Rhinolophus ferrumequinum: one gene and its partner. The protein of the gene in region 2 purifies or fractionates together with the protein of the main gene of each other region. This does not show direct contact. Links are inferred from orthologs where the notes say so. Each region holds a gene or a part of one and is shown on either strand. Other genes may lie near its edges.

The links.
Region 1: the proteins of PYM1 (region 2) and MAGOH purify together in Homo sapiens (co-immunoprecipitation; 8 studies listed by BioGRID and IntAct, counting the BioPlex papers as one, with this or other methods). This does not show direct contact. The link is inferred for Rhinolophus ferrumequinum from reciprocal best matches to the Homo sapiens genes PYM1 and MAGOH.

The regions. Positions count from the first base shown.
Region 1 is NC_046292.1:38,088,270-38,096,339, reverse strand, and holds the start of MAGOH (protein mago nashi homolog), read left to right. Parts: upstream 1-5,017; 5' UTR 5,018-5,108; coding exon 5,109-5,196; intron 5,197-7,770; coding exon 7,771-7,829; intron 7,830-8,070. UniProt on the Homo sapiens protein: Required for pre-mRNA splicing as component of the spliceosome. Plays a redundant role with MAGOHB as core component of the exon junction complex (EJC) and in the nonsense-mediated decay (NMD) pathway.
Region 2 is NC_046293.1:55,336,315-55,343,480, forward strand, and holds the start of PYM1 (partner of Y14 and mago), read right to left. Parts: upstream 3,047-7,166; 5' UTR 2,984-3,046; coding exon 2,827-2,983; intron 1-2,826. UniProt on the Homo sapiens protein: Key regulator of the exon junction complex (EJC), a multiprotein complex that associates immediately upstream of the exon-exon junction on mRNAs and serves as a positional landmark for the intron exon structure of genes and directs post-transcriptional processes in the cytoplasm such as mRNA export, nonsense-mediated mRNA decay (NMD) or translation.

The sequences.
Region 1 (8,070 bases), on a different chromosome or scaffold from region 2:
TATAACTACAGTCATTAACGGGTCACACAGTCATTGGACTATAGAGCTGGAAGGAAGCTTAAAAACGATGCCAGGAGGGCAGGAAATTTATCAGACATATTTTTTCTCTATTTAAAAGAAACTGGTCCCTGTCCTTTTCCTCCCTTTCCTTCTCCAGGAGACTACTTTGGGCTGCCTGATCACTGTACCAAACCTGCTATCTATCTTTCCAATGGAATTATGAAGGCCCTGGCAGAAATGGCCTTTCAGAAACAGAGAAAACTAAAATTTTATTTATTTACTTTAGATAGCATGGTTATTTATAAAACAGATGGAGGTAACCTGTAACCTTGGAATGAGATCAGATTTAAATTTATGGCAAAAAGTACTATTGATCCCTCCAATTCTCTCTTTGTGATTGCAGTATATTAATTCACTGAAACCATTTTCTAGGTACCAACTAAGTGTCAGGCACTACAGATGTACAGGTCAACCAAACATTTTCTGTCTTTATGGAGCACATAATAGCAATAGAGGAAGACATGTGGAAACATAAAAAAGAATAGATTCTTTTCAGAGTATTAAGATACAAAGAGATCATTTCTACCCAAGAAGATGAGGAATGGGGTCAAGAAAGGCATCATAGGAGAAGTGACCTTAAGCTAAGTCTTAAAAATTAAGTAGGGGTGTCCAAGTTGCTTCAGGCAGAGGAGACACAGAGGCATGGAACAGCATGGGGACTTTAAGGAAGTGCATGTAATTCATTAGAAGGAACAAAAAGCTCAAGGGAGACTTAGCAAGAAATGAGGCTCAATGAAAAGACAGGTTCAATTAAGCACTTTATAGAATACTTCTATTTAATTTCTGATTCAATTAAGCAAACATTTCTTGGTCATTTATTGTGTACGAGGCACTGAGTGCATCATGAAAACTTCATCAGGATGTGTTGCCAGCCCTTTGCAGGCTTGGCATTCTTCAGCCTCAAGCTTTCCAGTGGCCAAAGGGAAATCGTGACTGCTTTTCATATATTTGAGTTGAAGTTTTTTGATATGGTCAATGACAACTAATATAAGGGCCGTGGAATTTTCACAGAAGCACTCCACGTTGTCAGGAGCCTCAGATTTTCTCAACAGTGAGAAAGAAAACTGGAAATGTTGAAGACATGAGTCTACAGAGGTAACCCCAGCACTGTCCAGTCAGGCGTTGGTGGGAATGGGGAGAGGGCACAGGAAGGTGAGCCTCCCCACCTCACTCCCTAACTTTAGCCACACACTCGTCATTTCACAGAATATAAATGGTTAGCAGTTAAAACATTTCAGAGTAAATTATTTACTTTCCCATCAATGCATGAAGATAGAGGATTGCAGTTTTCTCACACTGTATTTTTAGGGTATTGGGGATATTCAGGATATGGAGAACTTAGAGGTAGAAGAATTACAGCTTCAAATTTTCAGTTAATAATTCAGGAAGCTCTTTTCATTCAAGCTATGCACCATGTGCATATTCAAAAATCAGCAGAAACCCTCTGTATTTGCAACACTTTGTGCTATAAAAAGTAATTTTAAAAAGAACCACCTGTATATGTATATATAGATATATTTAAAGACATGAAGGTTTTGATACTTTTTTACAAAAATTACAAGAGAAAACAAATACCTGTACAAACCATGTGTTTTAAAATAGCATTTTGTTCTATACAAGCTGTTGTTAATTTGGGGGTGAAGTACTGGTCTGCAAACTCCATCACACTGTACCCCAATGAATTTTCCTTGTTTGTTCCCCACCCCCTCGCACACACACACCCAAATTACCATATTTGATGTAACAGGCAAACAGGCATGTTAGAATGTTGGATCACACTAACCATTTCTGATCTTTTTGTCTCATCATTCCGAGTTCCGTTAGTTTCTGTACTCAGTCCCCTTTGCAGTCTGGTTTCTCTTCCAGAGGCAAAGGGTGGAGTGTTGCATCTTACTAGCTGTATTGACGTCATCTTGGTGAACTAAAAACCAAGTGTGGACATTTGTAAAATCAGTGCACTGTTTCTAGAGAGACATTAAATTCATTTTTTAAAATCTGAAAGTGTTTCATTGTGATGCTTTAATGAGGGGGGAGTGAACAATCATTGGTTGAGTCCCTAGTGTGGACCTAGTATTATTCTACATAAATTACCTTAATGTTCATCAACGAATCTGTGAAATAAATACTGTCAACATTATCATTCCCATTTTATAGATAAGGAAATGGGTGAAGGAACTGCCCAAAGTCATAGTTATGTTTAGTGCCCCCAAAGTACATGTAGCACATAGCGCTCATGTACATGTGGCATTCTCTGCCTCGATTTTCCTTCTCTGCCTCTTTATCTGGCTAACTCCTGTTTGTCCTTGAGTACTCTGCTTAGGCCTACTCCTCCAGGAAGCATTCTCTCAGACCCAGACCTAACTCATAGGGTAGGGTAATTATGCTTCCACAACAAATTTGGCCTACTTGTATCCCAATACTTCTGCCCTGCTTCTCACCCCCATGCCACTGAGGTTGCTTTTTACCAAGGTCAGCCAGGAGCTCATTGATCATAAATAGTGTAAATACTTTCACTCCTTACCTTCCTAGACCTTGCAAGGAGTATTTAACACTGTTGGCACTCCTTTCTTAGGATACTCTTACTTTGGCTTACATGACACCATACTTCTGTTTTTCCCCCTACCTCTCTGGCCACATCTTAATCTCCTTTGCTCACACCTTAAATTATGGTATTCCAGCTCAAATCCATCCATTTTTGTATCTCCATTGCTACTATTGGAGTACATAAAGATCACCATCATGGATTATCACCATCGTAGATTAACAACTAATCTGAATTTCATACTTCTAATTTTTCCATTTTCCAATCCAATCTATAACATTGTAGCCACAGTAATCTTTCTAGAATACATTAGGTCATGCCACCACCACCCCGTTTTACTTTCCTGCTTTAAAGCCCTTCATCTGTTTCCTTTGTATTAAAATCCAGTACCCTTGGGTTTTAGCCTAAACTACTTAATAGGGCTTGTAAGATCCTCATGATTTGGCTTCTGCCCCTTTCCTACCTCTTCTGTATTCTAATCACAGTTCTGGGCCCTCTGGAACATTTCCTTCAGACTTCCCTTAAGCCCCTAGACTGGATTAGGAGCCACTCCCTGTGCTTCCATAGTATTTTGTGCTTCCCCTATTTATAACCTTGATCCCTACATTATAATTGCTTGTATGCTCAATTGCCTCCTCTGCAAGCTCTATAAAGGTCTGTTTTATTCACCATTGTATTCCTAGCGCATGACACACAGATTAAAACCCAATACCCCGGGGTTTTAGCCCAAACTCCTTAATATGTCTTGTAAGGTCCTTCATGATTACCTGATGTCTCTATATACTTAACTCCAGTTACTACCTCAAGATTTTTATAAGGATTGAAGGAACAAGCACTTGTAAATGGGCTCAGCTTTGGGGCTGACATTTATTAGGTGCTTAATACCTGGTGATTCCTTTCACTTTTTTATACAATTTCCTTGTTACCACCTATATCCAGGATTTTTAAAAAATAAAATGCCTTACGGTTTTATGGTAATTTAGTTTGTATTTTCCAATTTCCAAAACATTGTTTCTTATCCTTGAAAGAGTTCTGCCAGGTATATAACAAGCTCATTTTAAAGATAAGAAATCTGAAGTCCAAAAAATTCAGTAAGTTCACCTTTGATCACAGTGAATCACTATCACACAAAGGATTATTTTAACACTTCTCAAGTGATTTTTTTTTTTACATCACATCACACCCACTTTACACTCTGCTACCAATGCTTTTTCTGGGAGAAAATGAACAATGGCAAGACTAGGAATGAGAATCAGACTATAGGCCTGAATACAAAAATAGTATCCAGTTATAGTTGCCAGGTCCCAAGAATGATGCCATCTCGGCACTGTCTCTAGAACCAGTTCCATTCCCCCTCTGGCTGGAACTTAGGTGAGCTAAAGCAGGGTTCTAGTAATTAGGATTTTGATTGCCCTTTGCCTAATCAAGAAGCAAAAATTTCCCACAGCCAGAAATCCTTCACAGAGGTCAACCAGTTTGGCCTGAAGAGACAAGAACCTCTTGGGCAGTTCTCAACCCTGACTCATCCCGGGAGCTTTGCAAAAAACAAACAAACAAAAACCCCAAAACCCCCCAAACAAACAAAAACCCAAAACCACCCATGTCCAGGTCCACTGCGAGAGATCTTGATTTAATTGGTTTGGGGTGGGGCCCAGGCATCGGTATTTTTCAGATGCTCCGAGGTGATTCTATTGTGCAGCCAGGGCTGAGAAATCCCTGCTGGGTAAGCAGTGCATAGATGTCTGGGGAGTGGGAGATCAAATACTCAAATTACCTTCTACGCACGCACTTCAGAGACCAGTGAGGTAGAACGGGAACGGCAGAAACAAAGGGTAGAGGGAAAATGAGAAATACGTGCGGGCAAGTTCATTCCAGAGAAATGGCAGTCTCCACTATGGGTTCAGGAAAAGCATCTCTGACAAAGGTTTTCTCGAACTGGTCCCTAACCAGCCCAGTTCGGTCGGAGCCAACTTTAGACATATGCATATAGTGCGCTGCGTTCTCCTGTGGGAACGGGTCATTTAACCCCATTTTACTGTTGAGATGACCTAGGTCCAGAGACCGCGAGGCGCCTTGTGCGACGCACACAAGTCCTTTGAATGGAAGTTGAGCCTGAAGGGACGCAGGACTCGGGGTGTTCAACCCAAGGTCTTGAAGCGAGGTCTACACACCCCTCACCGAAGCCCTGAATCCCTTCGTGGCTTGGCTGTCGGCCTCACTCCTAGGAGAACGCCGGCGGGTAAATCTCCGCCTCGTTTCCGCCTCGGGCTGAGGGAACGTGGCTGCACTGACCCCTCCACCGAGTGAAAAGAACATTGTTTCCGCCAGGAGAGACCCGGCAGCCTCAGCCCACAGCCCGGCTCGGGTGCGGAGCGGCGCCTTCGCTTCCGGCGATAGCGTTGACTTGACGTCACTTCCGGGCGCCGCCGTAAACGTCAGTGTTGGGCGCGTATGGTGGCGGTGTGGTTTGGTATTCAAGTTTGGTCTCCGTTACCTGTTGCGAGCCATGGAGAGTGACTTTTATCTACGTTACTACGTGGGTCACAAGGGCAAGTTCGGCCACGAATTCCTGGAATTTGAGTTCCGACCCGACGGTGAGAGCGGCCTCCAGCGCCCCGGGAGCTAGGAGTAGGCCTGGGGGGAGGCCAGTGGGGAGCCCGGGGGTCCGGAATGTGCGGGGAATTAGAGGAACGGACTGATACCTGTGCCGCGCGGATCTAGAAGGAACACTCCTGTGCTCTTCCTGTCCATGTGGAGGGACTTCTGTTTAGTGACATTTTTGACCAGCGTGCCTCATTCAGCAAACACTGATTGAACGCCCTCTTTGTGCTAGGCTGTGTTTCACAATCTGGGATACAGATTGATGTGAATGATAGATAAGCTTCCTCTCTCGTGGAACTTGTACTTCTATTGCGGGGAGAGAAATCGTAAACAAAAAAGGAGTCCAGATAGTGATCTGAAAATAAAGCAAAACGATGGAATTGCTGGTGGGCTGCTTTTAGATAGAGTGGCCATTGGAGAGCTCTCTGAAGAGGGGATGTTTGAACTGAGCCCTGTTTGACAAGAAGGAGCCCCCCTTATGAGGCTCAGAAGGAAGAGCATTCTAGGCAGAGGGAGGAACAAGTGTCAAGGCGGTAGGGCAGGGATGAACTAGGCATATTTCAGGTGACCAATATGGTTGAGAGTAGTGACCTCTGGGGAGAATAGTAGGAGATGATGTGGGATAAGTGGCAGGGGTCACACCATGTAGGTCTTTATAGGCCATGGTGAAGAGTTTGGATTTTATTCTAAGTGCAACAGGAAGCAACTGGAAAGTTAAGCAGAGAAGAGATGTGATCTGTGCTTGAGAAAGTATGCTAATTAGTGGGTGCAGAATAGGCAAGAGTGGAAACAGGGCTACTTATTAAGAGACAGTTAACAATTGTCCAGACAAAAGCGATGTTGGTTGGGTGGTAAAAATGGAGAGAAAAATTTAGGGTACTTTTGGAGGACGAACCAATAGGACTTTGTAAATTACATGATTTAGGGAGGGGCCACAGTGGTGAAGGAAAAGGAATAAAAAATGACGGAAAACTCCCACTAAATGGGGGCACAAAGATGAATCTGACAAGCTGAATTTTATGAAGGAGATAGATTTTTAAACAATGATAAGACAGTATTTTAGGTGCTGTGGTAGAAAGAAACAGAAGGGACTCTGGGAGTAGAAAGAAGGCATCTAATCTAGCCTAAGGGTTCAGAGCAGGCTTCTGGCATAAAATAACTTGGGGGCGGGGGAATGTGTCTTTAGTGGCTGTAGGAGTTGTTTAGGCAGATGAGACTCAAGAAGGTATTTTTGGACTGCATTTAAGGCAAAGAGAATGAAAACCAAAAAGTGCATGGGATGTTTCAGGCAGAAACCAAATAGTCCGATTAACTCCAGCTATGGGAGAGAGGACTGTTGCAGGAGTGAGCCTGGAAAGGCAGGGCAGGGGGCTCAGCTTAACAGTATGCCATGTTAATTTGGATTTTATCAAGAAGGCAGTGGGAAGCTACTGTCCATATCACAGTATTAGGAGTAACCTAATCAGATCTGTCTGTTACTACATCAGTTTGTCCACTATAGGGAGAATGAACTGAAAGGACAGACTTGAGGCAGAGAAACAGTGCAGTGAGGCATCAATTAATTTGGCTCTTTTTACATGTGTGCCTTCTATTCTATGGGGAAAAAAATCACCTCTTCTGTTTCTTTGTATCTTCTCCTTCATACCCACCATATACCCAAATTAGCCCGTTGAATGCACATATGCACAAAGGGCCTTATAAACCAAATGTGCTAAATAATAAAACAACTTTTCCATCATAGGAATAGATCAGAATATTGCACAGTCACATGGTAATATATGTAAACAGTATTTTACAGTTTTCAAAAGGCTTTCACAACTCATTTGAGCCTCTGGAGGCTCTCCGTGTAGGTAAGTTCCCAGTTACTCTCCCTGTTTTCAGCTGAGATATGACGTGCCTGTCACAAAAGAGTCTGCCTATGTTCTTTTATCACATCTGAGCTACCTTTTGCAAGAACTGTAATTCATTGTCAGCTATATTTTTGGCTATGAGGCTATTTAATAGCCTGAAGTGAAGAATTGAAAAAATTGTTACTGTTGAAACACCAGAGGTGTAAATAGTTAATCTGGGTGTCGTGCTCCTAATGCTGAGGTTGCCCATTCGATTCCCACATGGGCCAGTGAGCTGTACCCACCACAGCCAAGATTGTGAACAACGGCTCTCCCTGGAGCTGGGCTGCCGTGGGCTGCCGGAGGTTGGCTTGGGCTGCTGTGTGCTGTCAAGAGCAGCCGGTGGCCAGTGTGAGTGGCCGGCAGCCAGCAAGAGGTGCACTGAGCTGCTGTGAGAGACCGACCAACGACCGGCAACCGACTGCCTCAGCCAGGCGGGAGCACAAGGCTCGTAATACCAGCATGGGCCAGGGAGCTGTGTCCTATACAACTACACTGAACAACGGCTTGAACCGGAGTTGAGGGGGGAGGCAGAAAAAGGGGGGGGGGAGTAAATCTGTTAGACACTTGAGGGGAAAGTTAGGATACATTTTAAGCAACAGCTGATTGTCTTAGTAGGCTAATGATGTTTTATTCATGTTTTTATTATACATTGAATTTGTTTTTTGCCCCTCATAGGGAAACTGAGATATGCCAACAACAGCAATTACAAAAATGATGTCATGATCAGAAAAGAGGTAATGAGTCTTCTGAGAGCCTTTCATTCACTACGACTTAGCCTTTTGTCTTGTTTTTGTTCTTTCTGGGAGTAGTATTGAAAGATAAAGAATAGGGAAGTATAGAGTTTGTAGACAGCTTCTAAAGTTTTTCTCAAATCTACTTTTCATTTATATTTTGTTTCACAATGCTGAATCAATTACTGGTAATCATTTGATGTCTTGCAAATCTCGGTTTGAACCCTGAACCTACTACTTACTA
Region 2 (7,166 bases):
GATTGTATTTGAGGTGTGACTGAATATCCAAGAATGAAGTCTATTCACCACACGATTAGAAAAGGGAACTGGCAACTCAGGAGAGAGGCTGGTGGTAGAAATAAAAACTGTAAAAAGTTAAGGAACCAATAAGCAGTGAGGAAATGGAAATAATATGCATAGTCCTGATATTGAAGAAATTAAGCGGTGGACAGGAAAGTAACAGAAATGAAGGGCCTTGATTTTTCAATTAAATAGAAAGTGAGGTCATCTGCCACAAGAGGTAGAATGAAAAGGGTCACAGAGAGCTAGGGGAAAGGTTGGGGAAATAGCAATGGCAGAATGTAAGCAAACCAAGAAAAAAAGAATTAGAGAGAAGCTGTCATATTGGCAGACATTAAGTTATAGAGACCCTGCTAGCTTCTGTGCCTGTTCTCTAGTCATATGCTGTGGCCTAGAAGCAGAAGCCCAGAAAACAATTGATGGGTATGATTCACGATAACAAAAGTGCTTGCTTAGTATAGAAGATCAAAACGAATAAAGAAAACAATGAGGATAGTATCAAACTAGCTGGTTAGAGGTCTACCAGGGCAACATCAAGGGTAGTCGTGAAGGTTCTGGTAGACTCAATGAAGTGGAAAAGAGTTAAGAATCAGAGAACCGTAAGGAGGGCAAAATGCTGATTCTGTGGGTGTGAGGTAGTGAAAAGGGTGACCGGTAAGGAAGCTAAAATAAGTGATGAGAAGCACATGGAGGGGAAGCAGTGTCATAGGTGCGGTCCAAGTTGTAGTGACTGTGATGTGTGGCTGGTTTGAAAACACAAAGGAAGGTCAATAGTCTCATGCTGAAGAACTTTAAGATCAGAGTATCCTAAAGGTGCTGTGCTGGAGATACTGAGAATGAGAGCCAGAAACAGAGTAGAGAAAAAAATATGTGATGCCTGACCACTGCACTGTACACCTGAAGCTGAAACTGAATAATATTGTATGTCAACCATAATTTAATATATATATAGTCATGGGATATGGAGTACAGCATAGGGAATAGAGTCAATGGAATTGTAATAGATATATATGATGTCAGAGGGGCAATAGATCGGGAGAGAGGGTTTATCACTTTGTGAGGGGTGAAATGTCTATTACATTGTTTTGTACACTTGAAACTAATTAAAAAAAAAAAACAACAACAATGATGTGATAGGTCTGGGTCCTTGTGGGCAGTAGATGGCCCTGGGGTATTAGAGAAAATGTTGTAATTGCATGGCAATACCGTCCACAAGTATTAGAGTGACAGTGGTAGATCAATGATATGGAAAGAGTAAAGGAAAGCAAAAAAGCAGTGTGATTCCTTCTCCTCTTCCACATGGGTCTCCGAAAACAGAAGACACCCCTTGGTGGGAGGGTAGGGTGAGATGTGACATCTGGATTTTCGTTATATCAAATTAAGGAAACAGGTAAGAATAAAGAAGTGTACTGGAAATTAAGTAATATTTTCAAAGCACACATTAAAAGGAGCTAGTTGAAGAAGGACCTACTGAGTAGAGAGGAGAGGTTGTACCACTTTGAAGTGTGAGGTTGGAGAATGACAGGATTGTTGTCATTAGATATAAGAGAAGTGGTTTGGGATGTTAAGGAACATGAAAAAAAGCAAAGCGAGAAGCATAAATGGCACATTTTAAAACAGACCGTATGTAGCACAGTACAGACATAGTGTCACTTCCAGAGAAGACTATATATACACAATGAGGGCTACAAAAAAGAAAAAAGTGGGAGTGGCCACTTAGCTCAGTTGGTTAGAGCACAGTGCTCTTAACAAGGTTGCAGGTTCGATCACCACATGGGCCACTGTGAGCTGTGCCCTCCACAACTAGATTGAAACAACTACTTGACTTGAAGCTGATGGGTCCTGGAAAAACAAACTTAAGAGTAATACTTTGCCTTGCACAGCATTTTATAAGTTGCCTTCACATATGCCACCCTATTTGATCCTCAATGGATAGACAGTACTATGCAAATTTTTCTAAAGAGGAGGAAATTCGGATAGGACAAAACGACAATGAAAACCTTGCTTTTTCAGTTTTCAACACATAAACCTCACATACACAGCAGACACTTCAGCATCTCAATCAGCCAGGCTCGAAATTCTTCACTAGCGATAAGGAACAGTAGATTCTATCAAATTATCAAAGGGCTTGAGGCCACTAGACACCTTGCTGGTTTGCCTTCTTGCACCTTAGATCCCTCAACTTCTATCATCATCACCAAAGAAAGTAGAGAAGGGTGGGGCCATCAAGGAGAGAACTCAGCTGAAAGTTGTATTACGTTTCTCTTCCCTTCACACCTCTGTACCTCAGTGACCCAACAATAAAGATGAGGAAGAAAGTGGAAAAACCACTATGTAGCAATGAGACCTTCTACAGATACAGTTTCGAGAAAAAGAATTAAAACGTTGCTGTGGTAGGGCAGAAAGCAGGTATAACTAAGGGGGGGGAGGGGAAGGACAGGAATTGGAGGGAACTGAGAGTGTAGGAGCCCCCAAGACTGGAGAACCCAAAAGAAATATTGAAGCTTCAACTGCTGGAGAAAAGCTAAGAGCCCGAAAGGGTCCTGGAGCAGGGACCAGCATTGAAGGACCCCAGGGTTTGGGTGACCGGAAGCAGAGACCCCTAAACTCGAAACCAGAAGGGGGCGCAGGTGACACCCCGTGGGAGAGAATGAATGGGGAAGGCGGTTCGGAGGGCGGGGCAAAGGAGGGGCCCCGGGATGGGCGGGGCACAGACCCCTTTCCAAGTCCGAACCCCTGCCCCGAGAGCCCGGAGAGAAGCGGCTCCGCGCCTCCCGCACTCACCGCCGGTCTCGTCAGTTACATAGGGAGTCGCCATCTTGAAAACGCAAACCACTTCCGGCGTGAGCGGGCTGGGGTCCCGCCCCCTCCCCACCGGAAGTGGAGTTCTGATCGTAGCAAGCCACCATTTTAGTCTTAAAGAGAGAGTACACCATTTCATGACCGGAGGTGGAGAAGAAGGAAGGGAGGAATAGTAGCTGAAGACTTTAGTAAAATAAAAGCCGTGGGCTCTTTTACTGCCACTGATACCATTATGGAGCGTCTGCTGCGTGTAAAGCAGTCCTCTGGGCGCCGAGAGAAGTTCCTAAGCACAGCCCCTCTCCTCACATGCACTCTTCATCCGACCAGGACCTGCGAGGGAAAAGGGGGCAAGGCCCACCTGCACCCGGAAAGGGGGGGCTGATAGATGAGAAAAGGAAGAATATTCAGGCTCTGGCCTGCACTCAGGTCCCAAAACGGCGTGAGGGCATGGAGCAGCGCAGGCAAACTCCGGGAACGCACTGGGGCGCACTAGTGTTGTTGGAGGCTAATAAAAGATCCTCACTACTCTTTTAGAAGGTGGGCAGGTCGAAATCGCGTGCGGACTGCCCTCAGCCGCCCAGCTCAACCCTCCGGACTGAGAGCCGCGAGAGAAGGTGGAGGGCGCTGCCGGTTTGTCACCTGTCCCCGCAGTCTCAGGGTTGCCGACAGCTTCCATGCCGTGCAGGTGGTGGGTCGGGTTGGGCAGGAAGCCTGGGCCTGGCCCTGCCCTTGGGGCGGCCCGGGGGATTCAGGCGGCGAAGTGACGACTGCTTAAGTTTGCTCTGGCCTTCGGCCCCAGGAGCCTCTTCGGGCTGGGCCCCAGGGTCAGAGGGCAGCGTGAAGACTTATGGGCGGACCCAGTTAGTATTCTAATTAACCTCGTACAAGTCTCTGGGCGACGGGATCGAAAGCGGGGCAACTTGCCAATAATCCGGGCCCACATTGTCACTCCCTTTACAACCCTGCCCTGCCCTGCGCCTCCTTATTCGTTAGACCAACCCGAATGTGCTCCCTCCCCAGTTCTTCTCAATAGCTGTTGTTCCTTCAGGGCCAAATCCTGCTGAACTCGTTTCCCCTGCAGCCTGGGAGGGGCCAGCTGCAGGTTCCTTTCCTCAGGTGTCACCTCTGCCCTTCCCCACCCACGTTGCTTTTTCCTTATCAACCCGTTTACCTTCCCCAAATCCCTTACATTGGCTTAGGTTAATTCCCAACAGTACCTCTGAAACCAGGGAGGAGGATGAAAGTGGGTACTAGTGACTATCTCCAACAGAAGGCTGCGTGCCCCAGTTTAAAAAACAAAAAACTGAGAGTAGTGGCTGACTACGGACTTCCTAAGGCTTTAAAATTAAGCTTCAGAAGTTTTCTGGCGTCACAGCTTGCCTTCCTATGCTCCCCTTCCCTGACTTCCACCAGAGGCCCAACTCAGAACGTCTCAAAAGACTAAAAAAAAACTGATTGCATTCAATACACAGTTATTGTAAGTGTTCTAACACTTGCCATCCTTAACCCCTGTTCTCATCAGTTGTGCTTCATCCCTGCCAGGTCTAGCTAGCATCTTGTCCTTAGCCCTGTTACGAAGGATTAGAGGTGAGAGTGTGGGATGAAACCCCTAAAAACTAGAGGGATACATTGGTCTTGACTGTTCTACCTGAGGAGTATTAGTACTAGTGGGCTGCTCTATGGACCTTTGTACAAGAGGGAATCCTAAAGTGGCCCTTGTTAACTACCCAACGCTAGGCCCTCCACTGTGCCCCCAGACATCCTGCCTCAGCTCTGGGGTTGACAGGAAGTGAAACTCAACTGCCTGCCTAGCAGATCTGCCTGGGACCCAGCCCTGGGCCCGGATGTGCCCCCCACCTGAGGAGGAAGAGGGGAAAGAAGAGGCTGCGGAGAAGAAGGCTGTTGTTTTTTCCTTTCCCTTTGTTCGTTGTGGTTTCTTTCTTTCTGATTTTTATGATGTGGTTGATTAAAGAAATGAGCACCTGGAACTGTAGGCATTAGACGCCTCTTTCTGAGATGTTTCTTGGCCTTTCTTCCCCCCACCCCCAACAACAACTCACTTGGTGTATGATGGAGAGCACAGATCCTAAAGAAGACACAGAGAATATGACTGATTCTGTCTTGTTCCTTATTACAGAGATCACCTCATGTCCCACTTTGAAGTTTCAAAAATGTCTTAAAAGGAGCCTCTTTAACTTCATGTTGGAACATATCTGAGGATGATGGAATGAAAAACACAGATCATACATATAGGGTGGTATCACTGTGTTAATTGCAAGGAAAGCTTGATGCCTTAAGAATGAGTATCATTCCAGGATTGCTAGATGAGAGGTTCGGATTGGAAGAGGTGCTAGGGGTCTTGTTCTTTACTTACACTATATGTTTGTTTAGGATGGCTTAGAGTGGGGAGACACTATACACACACACACCCCAAGCCACTCTTTGGTGCAACCCCTAAACTAGACTATGTCTTTGGCTGTCCTGCAGAACTAAGTACAGGACCTGATGCAAAATAGAACTTCAAAAGTTTTTATGATTCCTTATGACTAAGGAGGTCATATAGGACGGGGAGATGAAGGATGGGGAGTGGCAGTGCCCTTGTCTTTTTAAGGTTGGAGGGGACACAGGAGCAGAGAGACAGACCTTCTCCAACCCATGCCTCAGATCTCCAGTTCAGACGCAACAACAATACCCTCAAACCCAATTTACTCAGCAGCTGTATTTCTGATAAAAATGGAGGAGTCTCTTCTAACAAGCTTGTCTTGAAACAATCAAGAACTGCTTAGAACCCCCTGTTTCCACTAGAGGTCCTCATGAATTCATTCCTTCTCCTCCACCAAAGGCTGTGTGTGTATTTGTGTGTGTGCACACGACGTGTACAACACACACACATATATCCTTCCAGTCAGAGCTCTCCCCTCCCCCTTTCTTCCACCACCAGGTGTAAAAGGGAAGATTCCAGGAACTCTAGACTTTGTTACTTGCCCTACTTCAATGAAGGGTAGGAAGGGGTTAGACGGTGTTGGGGCGGGGCCAGGGAGCAGGATGCCTGGGTCCCCAGTTCCTACCAGTAAGTCCCTAGGCCTCTGTTTCTCTACCTTGCTCTACCAACTTCACCACCATCCATGCTGCCACCAGAGCCTTAACTCCAGAACAGATTCCAGACTGGAGAAGCTGGAAGGATCTTCCTTCATCTTCTCTTTTGGCCAGGGCCTTCTACACCACCCACCAAGGCCAGCAGGTAAAATGGGACGGTTGGGCATAAAGAAAGGGTGTTCTTTGTACCTAAACCTCCACCCCAGGAATTAAGGGAAAGATCTGAGTCTTGAGAGAAGAAGATGTCCTTAGACTTGGGAAAACAAGTCTGAGACATTTTCGCGAGGTGAAGAACCTGGAGGTGGGCAGATTCTCACAGGTAGTGTCAAGCAGTGTGGAGCACATGGTCCGGGAGCTGTTCAGGTCTCAGGATGTGGAGTCTGGAACTCTGGCCTTGCCGCTGTGAAATCTCCTGAGTATGAATTTAAAAGTCAATGGTGGATGGAAAGCAGTTGGAAAGGGAAGTCCCCAGATGGCAGCAATTAGGAGAGGATGAGACCTTGGCTGGGTGGGCAGCGGCCAAGCTATCCCATCAACAGCCCTGCCTCCTATCTTGGACTCCAGGGTCGGAATGAAGGAAGAAGCTGTGAGTGATTGGAATGAAGGGAAAATAGAAACAGAGCTGGTCCCGGGGCGGGAAGAAAATGAGAAGCTCAGGATGTGGAGAAAGTGGCACAGACCAGAGCCCTGGAGTAGTCGTGGGAGGGGGTGGGGGATGAGGTTTGGTGAAATAGAAACTGAGGCTTCTCCAGACTGGCAGTTTCCAGAGTTGGGGGTGCCTGGCGCCGGCGGGCGGGCGGGGGTGAGGGGCGGGCAGCTGTGTCGTCAGGAGCGGGGCGGCCCAGCGGCGGCGGCGTCTGCCTGGCCCGTCCCCTCCAGCCCTGGTCGGGCTTCAGCTCCCGCGTCGTGCTTCAGCTCGGATCGCGCGCCCTCGGCAGGCAAGGTAGAGACCCCGCGAGCCCCCGGCCGCCGCCAGCCCTACCCTCACGAGCAGGAGGGGCGGGGGTCGCAGGAGGGGACTCCCCGCGGGCTGGGGTAGGGCTGCTGGGCCGAGAAGGAGGAAGCGTGACAGCTGGAGCGGGTAGATACCTAGCAGGGTTTGCGCCAGGACGCGGGGGCAGCGGGAGGACTGGGCCAGAACCCGTAGGCAGCGTTCCCCGCAAACCTTCCCCTCCATCCCTCCCGCTCTCTCGGAGGGATGGTGAAGCTAGGCTCCCAGTGACCCG